2 linked regions of the Drosophila melanogaster genome follow. Changing the gene in region 1 together with any one later gene gives a genetic interaction. Each region holds a gene or a part of one and is shown on either strand. Other genes may lie near its edges.

Region 1 (5,822 bases):
ATCTTCTCAAGACGAAACTTCACACGACCAGATCGGCTAGAAATTTGAATAAAGTGCTGCATAAAAAAAACCGAAAGTGGTAAAAAAAAGTGAAAAAAGTTCATCAAAAAAAAAAAACGAGAAAAAAAAGGATTTATCATTCTGTGCGAGTTTTATACCTGGTCCCGAGGACCTCAGGCAAATAGATAAGGAGTTGGTGGTGGTGGTTTGGTCTTCGTCCTGCGTCCTTCGTCCTGCGTATGCAAATCGCTCGCCCGAGTCCGCGATGATTCCTTTTCAATTCGAACAATGCCGAGGGTCGCCGCCCTGTCCTTTGGCCACACATGTTTGCGTCTGCGTTTTTTCTGCATTAATCGTCCTATTTGGAAAAAAAAATGATTAAACCCTTTCGTTCGGTACATTTTTTTCGAAGATTTTTCCCCGTTTTTTTCGAGGTTCATCTTTTTTTTTTTTTTGCTTAAGTCATCCCGTTGTTGTAATTTCACTTTTCCGTGAGAACTTTTGATGGGTTCTGATGGAAATAGGATGCTCAGGTGGGACACAAAAGAAGTTTTTTTTTTTGGGAGCAAAAAAATAGTTTTATTTCGAATAAAACCGGAATAAAGAAAAAGAAACGTGAGAGTTTTGGTGTTCACATTAACGTATAATAATTTTAATGTAATGTTTTAAATAATCTACATGCTTAAAATTGATAAATTAGTTAAGTTAGTTAGGTATTGTAACTAATTTGATTTTTTTTTAAAATTAAGTAGCTTCTTTGTTACATTCTAAGATGTAACTAAATTAAAATGATAGACCCCATCCTGTTGCGGTTGGTATCTACTTTCCAAACGACCTAAGGCGATTTATGTTCGAATAATCGAGGTGCCTGCATCGTCGTGCCCAGCATCCTAAGCAATTCACCCCCCGGCGTGATGAACGATGATGGTCTTGGGCTCGAAAGGATTCGATCCAAGATCTGACCGAGTTTTCTCAATTTGCATATCGAGGGTCGCGAGCTCCTTTGAGGGGTGCTATCGTCGGGGCAAGGGTTTGTCATGGGAACAAAAGACGCATTCATTGCCGAAGAATAGCCGAAATCAATATTTGAGGTAATTAATTAACTGCATCAATATTGGAGACGAGGAAATCCATAACGATATTCACATTTACCAATCAATTGATTGACGATTGAATGTTATCTTGAATTTTATCGCTAGAAGTCATTTGGAAAGTTATTACGCTCATATTTCATATTTTAATTAAATATCGTTAACCGAATTTTTTAACTATCAGAAATGAACTGGTTTTCATCAAAAAGTTATTTTTTTATACTTTGTTAAATAAATTGTTGAATAAAGTGGTTTACCTCGATTTCATCATTTTTATATCTGATCTTGAAAAATTTTACATTATTTAATTTTAAATCAAGCTCACTCTCAATTTTTTGTTATTAAATATTCTCATTCTGCTAATTCAAATCGAGCGGTTTTATTTCTGTTCTCCATAACGCGATCTGGCAACCTCTTCCCTTAAAATGTTTCATCCCTGGGAAGAGGGTTGCCTCTGCTTCAAAAAAATGGCGCGAAATTTCAACATATCGTAAATTCAATATAACAAATATCTGATGGGCAAATTTTTAACAGATTATTTTTAAAATCTTTTTTTTATATATTTACGGTCAATTACATTTTGATTACTTATTTAACATTTAACCAAAACTTTTAGAAAAGAAATATAAAATTTTTAGAAATATTCGAATACTTCATTTGCGAATCGAAAAAAATTACTGAAATAAAATTATTTATATTAATGGGAAATATTGGCCATTTGAAAAGCACCTGCTGTGCTGAGTGACCGCACTTCGCTCGTCAAGTGTGGTATTTTTTAGTACGTTTCGGCGCTTAGCGCGTGCGGTCACACAAACGCCAGGTACGTGTCCAAAATCATGAATCGAAAGTAAATGAACAATGTTGCTGCTTCGAAACGCAAATGCTCGCTAAACTCGTGAAATTGGGATTCGGAATCGCAGGTGCGAAATCACACGGGTGGGGAAATCGGATTCAGATGCACTCCGTCGGCGAAGCGCAAAACAACTGAGCACGCAACAACAAAAACAGTGACAGCAACAGTCATAACAATAGCAACACTCACATCAAAACACAATGACAACACGCACGGTGCAGAGAAATCTGTGGGCCTCCGCTGCGGTGGTCCTAGTTCTGCTCCTGCTCTGGACGGACACCACTGGAGGCTATTTTGCAGCCATCGATGAGACGGAGACTAGCAAAAACTGCTTCTGCGAGGTGGGTTAATATTCGGATTATTGTACACAGTAACGGTAAAATTAATTGATGATTTAAGCCATTTAAAAATATGTTTTTCAAAAATATTAAGAAGTTGATTTCATCATCATTTGCTTATCCTTTAACGATCTCTACTTAGATCTTAAAAAAAGGCTTTTAAAATTGTATTTTAAACTGAAAAGTATGTAGTTGAAATACTGGAGATTAGTAAAAAAGAATTCGTGCTTATATTAGTTTTGCTTTAATTGCAGTGCAGAACGTACAGAATACTCAATTATTTATTTGTGATAATTAATTAATTACACTTGCTTCACTAATAATATTTGACCTAGTATATGTATAGTACTCAGCTAACTTGAGATCAAATTTTTGTATACCTACTATTGCCACCTCGACTGTATGATATTTATATTCTTCGCAGTTGGAGGGATCTATAAACGACTGCAGCTGCGATGTGGACACGGTGGATCACTTTAACAACATGAAAATCTATCCGCGATTGCAGAGTCTGCTGGTGAAGAACTTCTTCCGCTTCTACAAGGTGAACCTGCGGCAGGAGTGCCCCTTCTGGCCGGATGACAGTCGCTGTGCGATGCGCTTCTGCCAGGTGGAGAACTGCGAGGAGCAAGCGATTCCCCAGGGCATCAAGGACAAGGGAGAGCACAAGGAGAAGGCCGCGTTTAAAGTAAGATTCCGGGTATTTCCATCGCTATCGTCTACACTACGCCTCTTATCTTATTCAATCTTTTGCCAAAATCACCACTATCTACCCAATCACTCAATGGGCTTGCAGGTGATTTATTTTTATTCGAATGTCTGCGGCTCCACAAGAATGAACCGCATCGATAATCTTCAACTGAGCCTACACTGTTAATGATGTGGCCTTTGATTTTGTTTTGCAATGCTGACGTGGTCTTCACATCTCATCAAGCGTTTGCCCGCCCCTTTTTAATTGTCGATTAACTTATTAACTTATCTAAAATATTGATCACTCCTTAGCAGACTATACCATACAGTAAAATATTATAAACAAAAATTCTATACCCCAAAATGAGAATGAAAATCAATTATTGTTTTTAAAGATAACTCAAAAAAAAAAAAAAAAAAAGAAACAATGCAGTTCAATATACGTATGTATTTAACAGCAGAGGTTCTTATCTTCACAAACAAAAAACAATTGATACTCGTACATAGCAAAAAAAAAACAAAACCATATTATCTACCAGATACTTTATTAACGTATAGATAATTATTTATACCGATAATGCCGTTCAAGAATGTATTGATATATTTGTGAAAAGCTTTATCTGTTTCTTCAAAGATTACTTAACCATCAATGAAATAATGACTGACTTAAAACTTAAGCTTATTTGTTTGCACAACTGGCTCACTTCACCTTACTGACTTCCTCATCTGCATCTTGTATTTACAGTACACGCGCGAGGCGCAAGTTGGGGGCTCAGCGTGCTCGGATGGAGAGGATTTCGACAGCTCTCTGGGTTTCCTGGACACGAGCATAAGTGATCAGGCGCATCGGGAATTCGAACTGTGGGCGAAGCATGATGAGGCGGAAGAGGACTTTTGCATCGTGGACGATCATGAGGAGGGATCCCAGTATGTGGATCTGCTCCTAAATCCTGAGCGGTACACCGGCTATAAGGGCGAATCGGCACATCGCATCTGGAAGAGCATCTATCTGGAGAACTGCTTCGGTGGCAACAACGAGACGGCTAACAAGTTCTCTAACTACGTGCCTCATTTGGATTTGCGAAATGTGTGCTTGGAGCAGCGTGCCTTTTATCGCATTATTTCTGGCCTGCACTCTAGTATCAACATTCATCTGTGCTCCAAATACCTGCTGTCAGAGTCAAAGGACTTCTTAGATCCGCAGGGCATCTGGGGTCCCAACGTAAAGGAGTTTAAACGACGCTTTAGTCCAGAAACCACAAGCGGTGAAGGTCCGCACTGGCTGCGAAACCTCTACTTCATCTATCTGATAGAACTGCGCGCCTTGGCTAAGGCTGCTCCTTATCTGCGGCGAGAAGATTACTACACGGGCATCGCAGAGGAGGATGATGAGGTTAAACTAGCCATCAATGATATGTTGAGTGTCATAGAGTGAGTATAGGAATATTCTTTTTTCTTACAATGTTTCAATTTAGCTTCTTTTTGTAGAAATTTTCAATCCCACTTCGACGAGAACGCCCTCTTCAGTAATGGAATCGCTTCTATTAAGTTCAAGCACGACTATAAGGAAAAGTTCCGAAACATATCCCGCATCATGAGCTGCGTAGGCTGCGACAAGTGCAAACTGTGGGGGAAGCTGCAGACGCAGGGATTGGGTACTGCTTTAAAGATTCTCTACTCAGAGAAGCTCAATCTGGCCACGGAAAGCGGGTTGTGGGACAAGCCGCACATCGAAGCGGATCCCATCTTCAGGCTGTCGCGAACAGAGATTGTAGCTCTATTTAATGCGTTTGGCAGGTGCGTTTTAAATGATAAAATGGCATTTCTAAAATACTTACATCTATACACTTGCTTGCAGACTATCCAACAGTATATACGAGATGGAGAATTTCCGGTGCGTGCTGAGGTAACCCATCCAGACTGGACTAACCGAGCGACGAGCCGGATCTCATTCGCCTCACATGAGCAGCTAGTTAATTCATACGCACATCGCTGGGGCTGCGTCTTGGACTTCCTACTGAATGCGGTTTCCCTCCCATAGTTCGTAACATTTTTGAGGCCAGAGGCTAGTAACCCCAGGATAGCTGCTTCCCTGTACATACAAACTATTACCCTAGGCTACTTGTACTTTAGCGCACCGTATCACCCTAAAAAAAACCAAATGACAAAAAAATAACCCATGCAGGATGCAGGTGTTTATTGTAAGTTAGCATAGTATTTATTGTATCTGGAGGAGTTTGTGAGCGGAACTTAATGAGCAAGTAAACGCATTGTGCAATACCAAGACCTTACGACACAAGGCGCTAAAATAAACTTCTGTCTGTTTTGAAACACCCTCTCTAACGTCTCCATCGATACGGGTCCTAGCAACCGAGTTGTTTGCCATTCCAGCTGTCGGCTTTTGTGACATTAGCAAATTGCTATCCAGTCGATCGACACTTGATTGCTCTTGTGACTATATTTTCTGTGCGAAATGGTGCTTCTTCAGGTGAAACGCGGAGACGAGCTTATCTTCCTCTATGAGACAAGCGTTAAGGAGAAGACTGATACTGTGCTTCGCGAGCTTGTGGCTCTGCACAATGGTCAACTGAAGATTCAGCGTGTCTGCATGGAGATTGAGGAGCTGGCCGAACATGGCACCATGGTGCCGCCTGAAATGATTGGCCTCAACGAGGAACAGAGGGAAGAGCTCAAGCTTAAGGATGTCTGGGCGGATAAGTGCATCCCGTCTGGTGGTTTCACTATCAACAAGGATCCGCTCCTTCGCCGTAACGGACAGCAGCCAACTGAGGCGATGCAAAAGGTCCTGGCAGGTGCCATGAACGACGCCAAGGCTATGGTGGATCGGGT
Region 2 (4,817 bases), on another chromosome or scaffold:
TGGGTGCGTGGGTGACTCTTGTAGTCCGTAGTCCACCTCCGCCCGCCGCCTCCTCCTCCTCCTCCTCCTCCTCCGCTGCTGTTGTTCTTGTTGTTCTCCGTCCCGGACAACAGCTCTACGGCTGCGTCGTCCGGGATCTATGCGTTCAATGACGTCGCCTTGCCCCGCCTTCCGGCCTCCTCCTCCTCCTCCTCCTTCGGCGTTCCGAAATCTGCGCAAAAAGCTGAAAATTCGCAGTTTCCACGGCCTATCTCCCCGATTTTCCAATGCTCTTTGCTTTTAATTGATGGCTGTCCTCGGTTTTGTTCTGTAAGCAAATCAAGATGTGACAACAAATAGAATGGAATTAGTAAGCATAACGATTTGCTAACTATATGTACATATGCAAGTATGTAGATATGTAGTGTAATATTCATACATTGCCGCATGGCCATATATGCAGTTTGAATGTTAAATGAAAATGCTTTTGTTTCGAGTGGTGCAGCCTTTGTTTTGTTTGCCAGTCGATTTTATAAATTGCTAAGCACGAGGAAGTGCACCAAAGAAAGTTCAACTTCCGGGTCGGTAACGTCTTTTATTAAAAACACATCTAATTTCCACATCGCGATTATATTAGGATTCATATTTATTTAGCAAAAACGAACACAATTATGTTTTTCTGTTCGCAATTATGTAGTTAAGGTACATAAGTAATACTTTCGAGAGATATTAAAATAAATGAAAGATTGTCGTAAGGAAACATCCCTTATCTCTATTATTTAAACTTGAAATTATAAATGTGCAGAAACACTAACAAGGTTTTGCTACAGAAACACAACACATAGTTTGTTTTCATACCAAACCAAAGTGGATAGCCTAGAAAGGCTGTTATGATGATGACCTAGCGCATTTCAGCATAGTTAATTTCATATTCAGAGACAATTAAGCAGGTCAAGAATCGAATTTTCCGAAATATGTGTGTATAATACATAAATACATATATGCATGTATCCTTCTTTGGTTGTTGTTTTGTCCGAATTCTGTTTGATATCCACAACGCATTTAATATGCCCATCCTGTCCAGCCACACACACACCCCCCCCCCCCTTAAACAAGGTTAACAGACAACCGCCCACCCGAAAAAGGGGGGCGTGAGGCGGAAGGAATGACCCAGACCCAGACGAAATGGCTTTGAACTTGAACTTGTTCAAGGTCTCTCGCGAGCATTTGAAATGTGCGCAATGCGAAGTGAAGCACCCGATTCAAGGACGGACGAAAAAATTGTGTGCAAAATTCTTTCAAGGTTCGATATAAACTTTCTTTGTTTAAAGCCATTTTAACAAAAATCCAAACTTTATTTGGCTCAATTCTCAATGAAAAGATGTGCGCGAGAGAGAGAAAGAGAGGGGTAGGGAAATGACGTGTGCATGTGCGTGCAAGAGAGGGTTCTTGTGTGGGTGTGCGTGTGATTGTGGCTGTATTGCAGTGCACTCACCTCAAATTTTTTTTGGATGATGAGACCCGACTACAACGGTAAAAAAGCTGCGGCGCAGTAAATGTTCTCCTTGTTGTTGTTGCCGTTGCTTGATCTTCTTTTCCTCTTCGCTGCTTCTTCTTCCCTGCAGCACACACAATGGTTTATTGTTTACCGTTCACTTTTCTTTTGCTCTGCAAGACCTTATTTGTTTATGTTTCACTTTCTACGATTTTTACTTTTAATTGCTGGAAAACACGCGTTTTATTTATTTAACAACTTTAAATATATATTTCGCTTGTCTGCGTCCTTGAACTTTCTCTTCTGCAGACAATTTGCATTCAAGTGCCATTAAATATTAATAACAATTGATATTTGATTATGTGCCACCTGGTGCTTCTTTCTCGCCGTCTGGTACGCACTTTTGTGTGAGAGTGTGTGTGGTGGTGGTGCCGTTTTACGTGGTGAAATCGTCACTTATTTGTTAACCCTATATTGGACCTACGTCAAATTAGAATTTGAAGTCATTTGTATGTTAAGATTTTCAAGACAGCTGTAAAATTATTTAACTACGTTAAGGTACAAAAAATTGTCAAGTCCATCAAGGGTTAAAACAATAATATTTTCGCTTCGTTTGTTGTTTTTACACTGCCTAATATTTGCATGTGTTTTGCCTCCACATTGCTTTGTATTTCTTTGTTTTCTTTTATCGCCCGATTCTCGTCTCTCTCTGACTCACACACCAAAAAAAAAGACACGCACACGTTGAAGCATACAACTGCTGTTTTTTCTTGCCAATTCCAATTCGGTCTGTGCCCACAATTAATGCAATTAATTAAATGCAAAACGATTTAATTTTTTGCTGAGAATCGCGGAGAGCAAAACAAATAGGAAAAATGAAATATGGAAGCTTCGAGAATGAGCAGAGAATAACCGGCAACGGCAGCATTTCAACATTCACTCTGCACTTTGCATCAACAAATTATTTATCAAATTGCTAGTTCCTTTTCGTTCCCTATTCTTTCTAACTCGATGTTTTTCTCGATTGCATTCTGTCAGCTGAGCGGTGGAGAGGGAGCGAGAGAGGGAGACTGAGCGCGAGAGCGAGAGGGGGCGATTGCTGAATAACTGTTGTTGCTAGCCTGTTGGTCGTTGTTGTTTTGATTGCCTTTAACCCACCACCCCCACCGACAGTACCACCACCACACAATGAGTTGCACTTATTTAGTGGGGCATGCAACATTTCGCAACTGTAGTTCTTAAACGCACAACCGAAACTTTTTCATTTGTTGTTCCGGCACACAAGCACACGCAGCCAGACACGCACACACACACACACACAATTTAAGCGGCGTGTACTTCGCACCTTTACGCGTCTTCTTTCACTGTTATTTGGCAAATTATTGTCGCGTCCGCTTTGCTACTCTCTTTCGCCAACCGCCGTACCTACGTGGTGAGCTTGAAAACGTGTTTTGTTTGTTACGCCGCGTTTGGCAATTTCTCCGCCGTCGAAATCAGTCGCGATTTTCGATTGCGGCCTCAAAACATTTGAGGCAAAAAACGTCTGTCCAGCGCGGTGCTTTTATCAAGTGTGCCCAGTTGAGGCTCTTTGCAGACGATTTTGTTGAGTTTTGTGCTTTTGCGGTTTTTTTCGGGGCCGCCAAGTGCGGTCTCACCATAATACATTGTGCTTTTAACAGAAATGTTAAATGTAGCTTAAACTAACAGTGACAGAAAGAGCTTTTTAAAGGAGAGCTAGAAATGTAGATTTCGGTTACAAATGTATCTTTATTACCTACCTTTTATTTCTAGATTTAGTTTTTAGAAAGAATATCTTAAGAATATAAAGAACATATTTATATTTTCCCTAAGAGTAACTTATGTAGACATGGTGGCTATTGCAATTTTATGTAGATATGGTGTAAGCTTATAAGCTTTTGACACGTGTCCATGCAAATTTTTCAGTTAATTTGCATTAGTCATTTTTTTAACTAGTTCTACATAACAAAGTTGAAATTTGTATTAAAATTAAAAATAAAGGGATATATATAGTTTTATATTTCCTTAATATTAATTTAAAATAATTTTTTTTCATGATATTGATATTGATATTCTACATGCATGCAAAAATACAAATATCTTAACAATAACTTCCGTTAGCTATTGATATCACAAATGGATACATTTGTATTAGACTTGCTCAATAAAACAGATAGCCACACTATTCAGAACGTGTAATTCAAAATATAGCTAGAAGACTATCAATCTATCTAAAAGACCTGCTCATAAAAATTAATTTAGATTGATGGGGGTAATTTATAGATATATTGCGTTCTGAACTGGGAACATTTGTGCTGGCATTTGGATAAAGTAATTAACACCGAAGCCTTTCAATACTTACCAGATTGGTAAAATGGAAGCCACCTTTCCAAATGTTGGTCTTGGCGTTACCTGGCGTCGTCGATTGGGTGATGGATGGCGTTGGCTTGGCCAGTACAGCGGGCGTGGAAGCCACCGTGGGCTTAATCAGCTTACTCAACTTCGAGGGTGGTCCAATGGGCACCCGGACGGTGACCTTCTTCTTCGGATTCAGCTGCAATTGGGTCTGGTGGTAGGTATATTCGATGTCCTTCGCCGGGGACAAGGATTGCAGCCGAGGCAGATCCTCTAAGTCGATCATTATTGCTTATCAGCTGGCACAAATGGTGATGAGTCAATATGTCAACTGGAATGAAAGCGAACACACAGATAAGGATGGGTCACTAGGTTGACTAGGCTTTTTTTTAGGATGGTGGTTTTGAACTTAATAATTCTGTTCCGACATTAAATATAAACAGTTTGTTTTCGGCGTATAAGAAAATGTGTTTTTACTCATTTTGATCAATGTGACAGATCAAAGATATAATAAATTCATATATATTTTAGTAGCCATACTCGTGTGATTTTATTTTTAATTTCTTCGAATTCCCTGCTAGTAACTTTATCGAACTTTCACTGTAAATGAGCTATAAAAACTGATAAGCGAACTTCGACGGGTGGAATTCAAAAATGAGATATAGCCAACCTAATGGTTTGTTTTATTTGCCATTTATTGAGAAAATTACACACATTCACACAAATTCAAATGTAGATAAGTACAGTGGATGCCCAACAACAATATCAACTCCCACGAGAATCCAGAAAGATAACCGCGTGGAAACGGCATTCATTATCTATCAATTGATTTGGGAACAAAGTATTAGGTATCAGTAACCATAGAGGGATTTCTCCATTGTACACAATACAGTGGGCCCTGCCTTGGAAGAATGCAAATTACATCAGCCAATGTTCCACAGGGGGAATTTTTCGATTAGATTGGGACAAT

Evidence for each region.
Region 2: of Ero1L (region 1) and cnc, changing one suppresses a phenotype caused by changing the other (phenotypic suppression), as found in Drosophila melanogaster (one study listed by BioGRID).

Annotation. Positions count from the first base shown.
Region 1 is NT_037436.4:4,168,508-4,174,329, forward strand, and holds Ero1L (endoplasmic reticulum oxidoreductin-1-like), read left to right. Parts: upstream 1-1,896; 5' UTR 1,897-2,144; coding exon 2,145-2,285; intron 2,286-2,706; coding exon 2,707-2,970; intron 2,971-3,717; coding exon 3,718-4,403; intron 4,404-4,460; coding exon 4,461-4,769; intron 4,770-4,830; coding exon 4,831-4,882; 3' UTR 4,883-5,282; downstream 5,283-5,822. Other genes in the region: CG18675 (uncharacterized protein), read left to right, coding at 5,446-5,820. UniProt on the Drosophila melanogaster protein: Oxidoreductase involved in disulfide bond formation in the endoplasmic reticulum. Efficiently reoxidizes pdi-1, the enzyme catalyzing protein disulfide formation, in order to allow pdi-1 to sustain additional rounds of disulfide formation.
Region 2 is NT_033777.3:23,218,943-23,223,759, forward strand, and holds the start of cnc (cap-n-collar), read right to left. Parts: upstream 3,020-4,817; 5' UTR 2,904-3,019; exon of another isoform or gene 2,820-2,903; intron 1,955-2,819; exon of another isoform or gene 1,702-1,954; 5' UTR 1,475-1,701; intron 308-1,474; 5' UTR 1-307. UniProt on the Drosophila melanogaster protein: Plays a role in posterior cephalic patterning. Probable subunit of a heterodimeric regulatory protein involved in the control of head morphogenesis.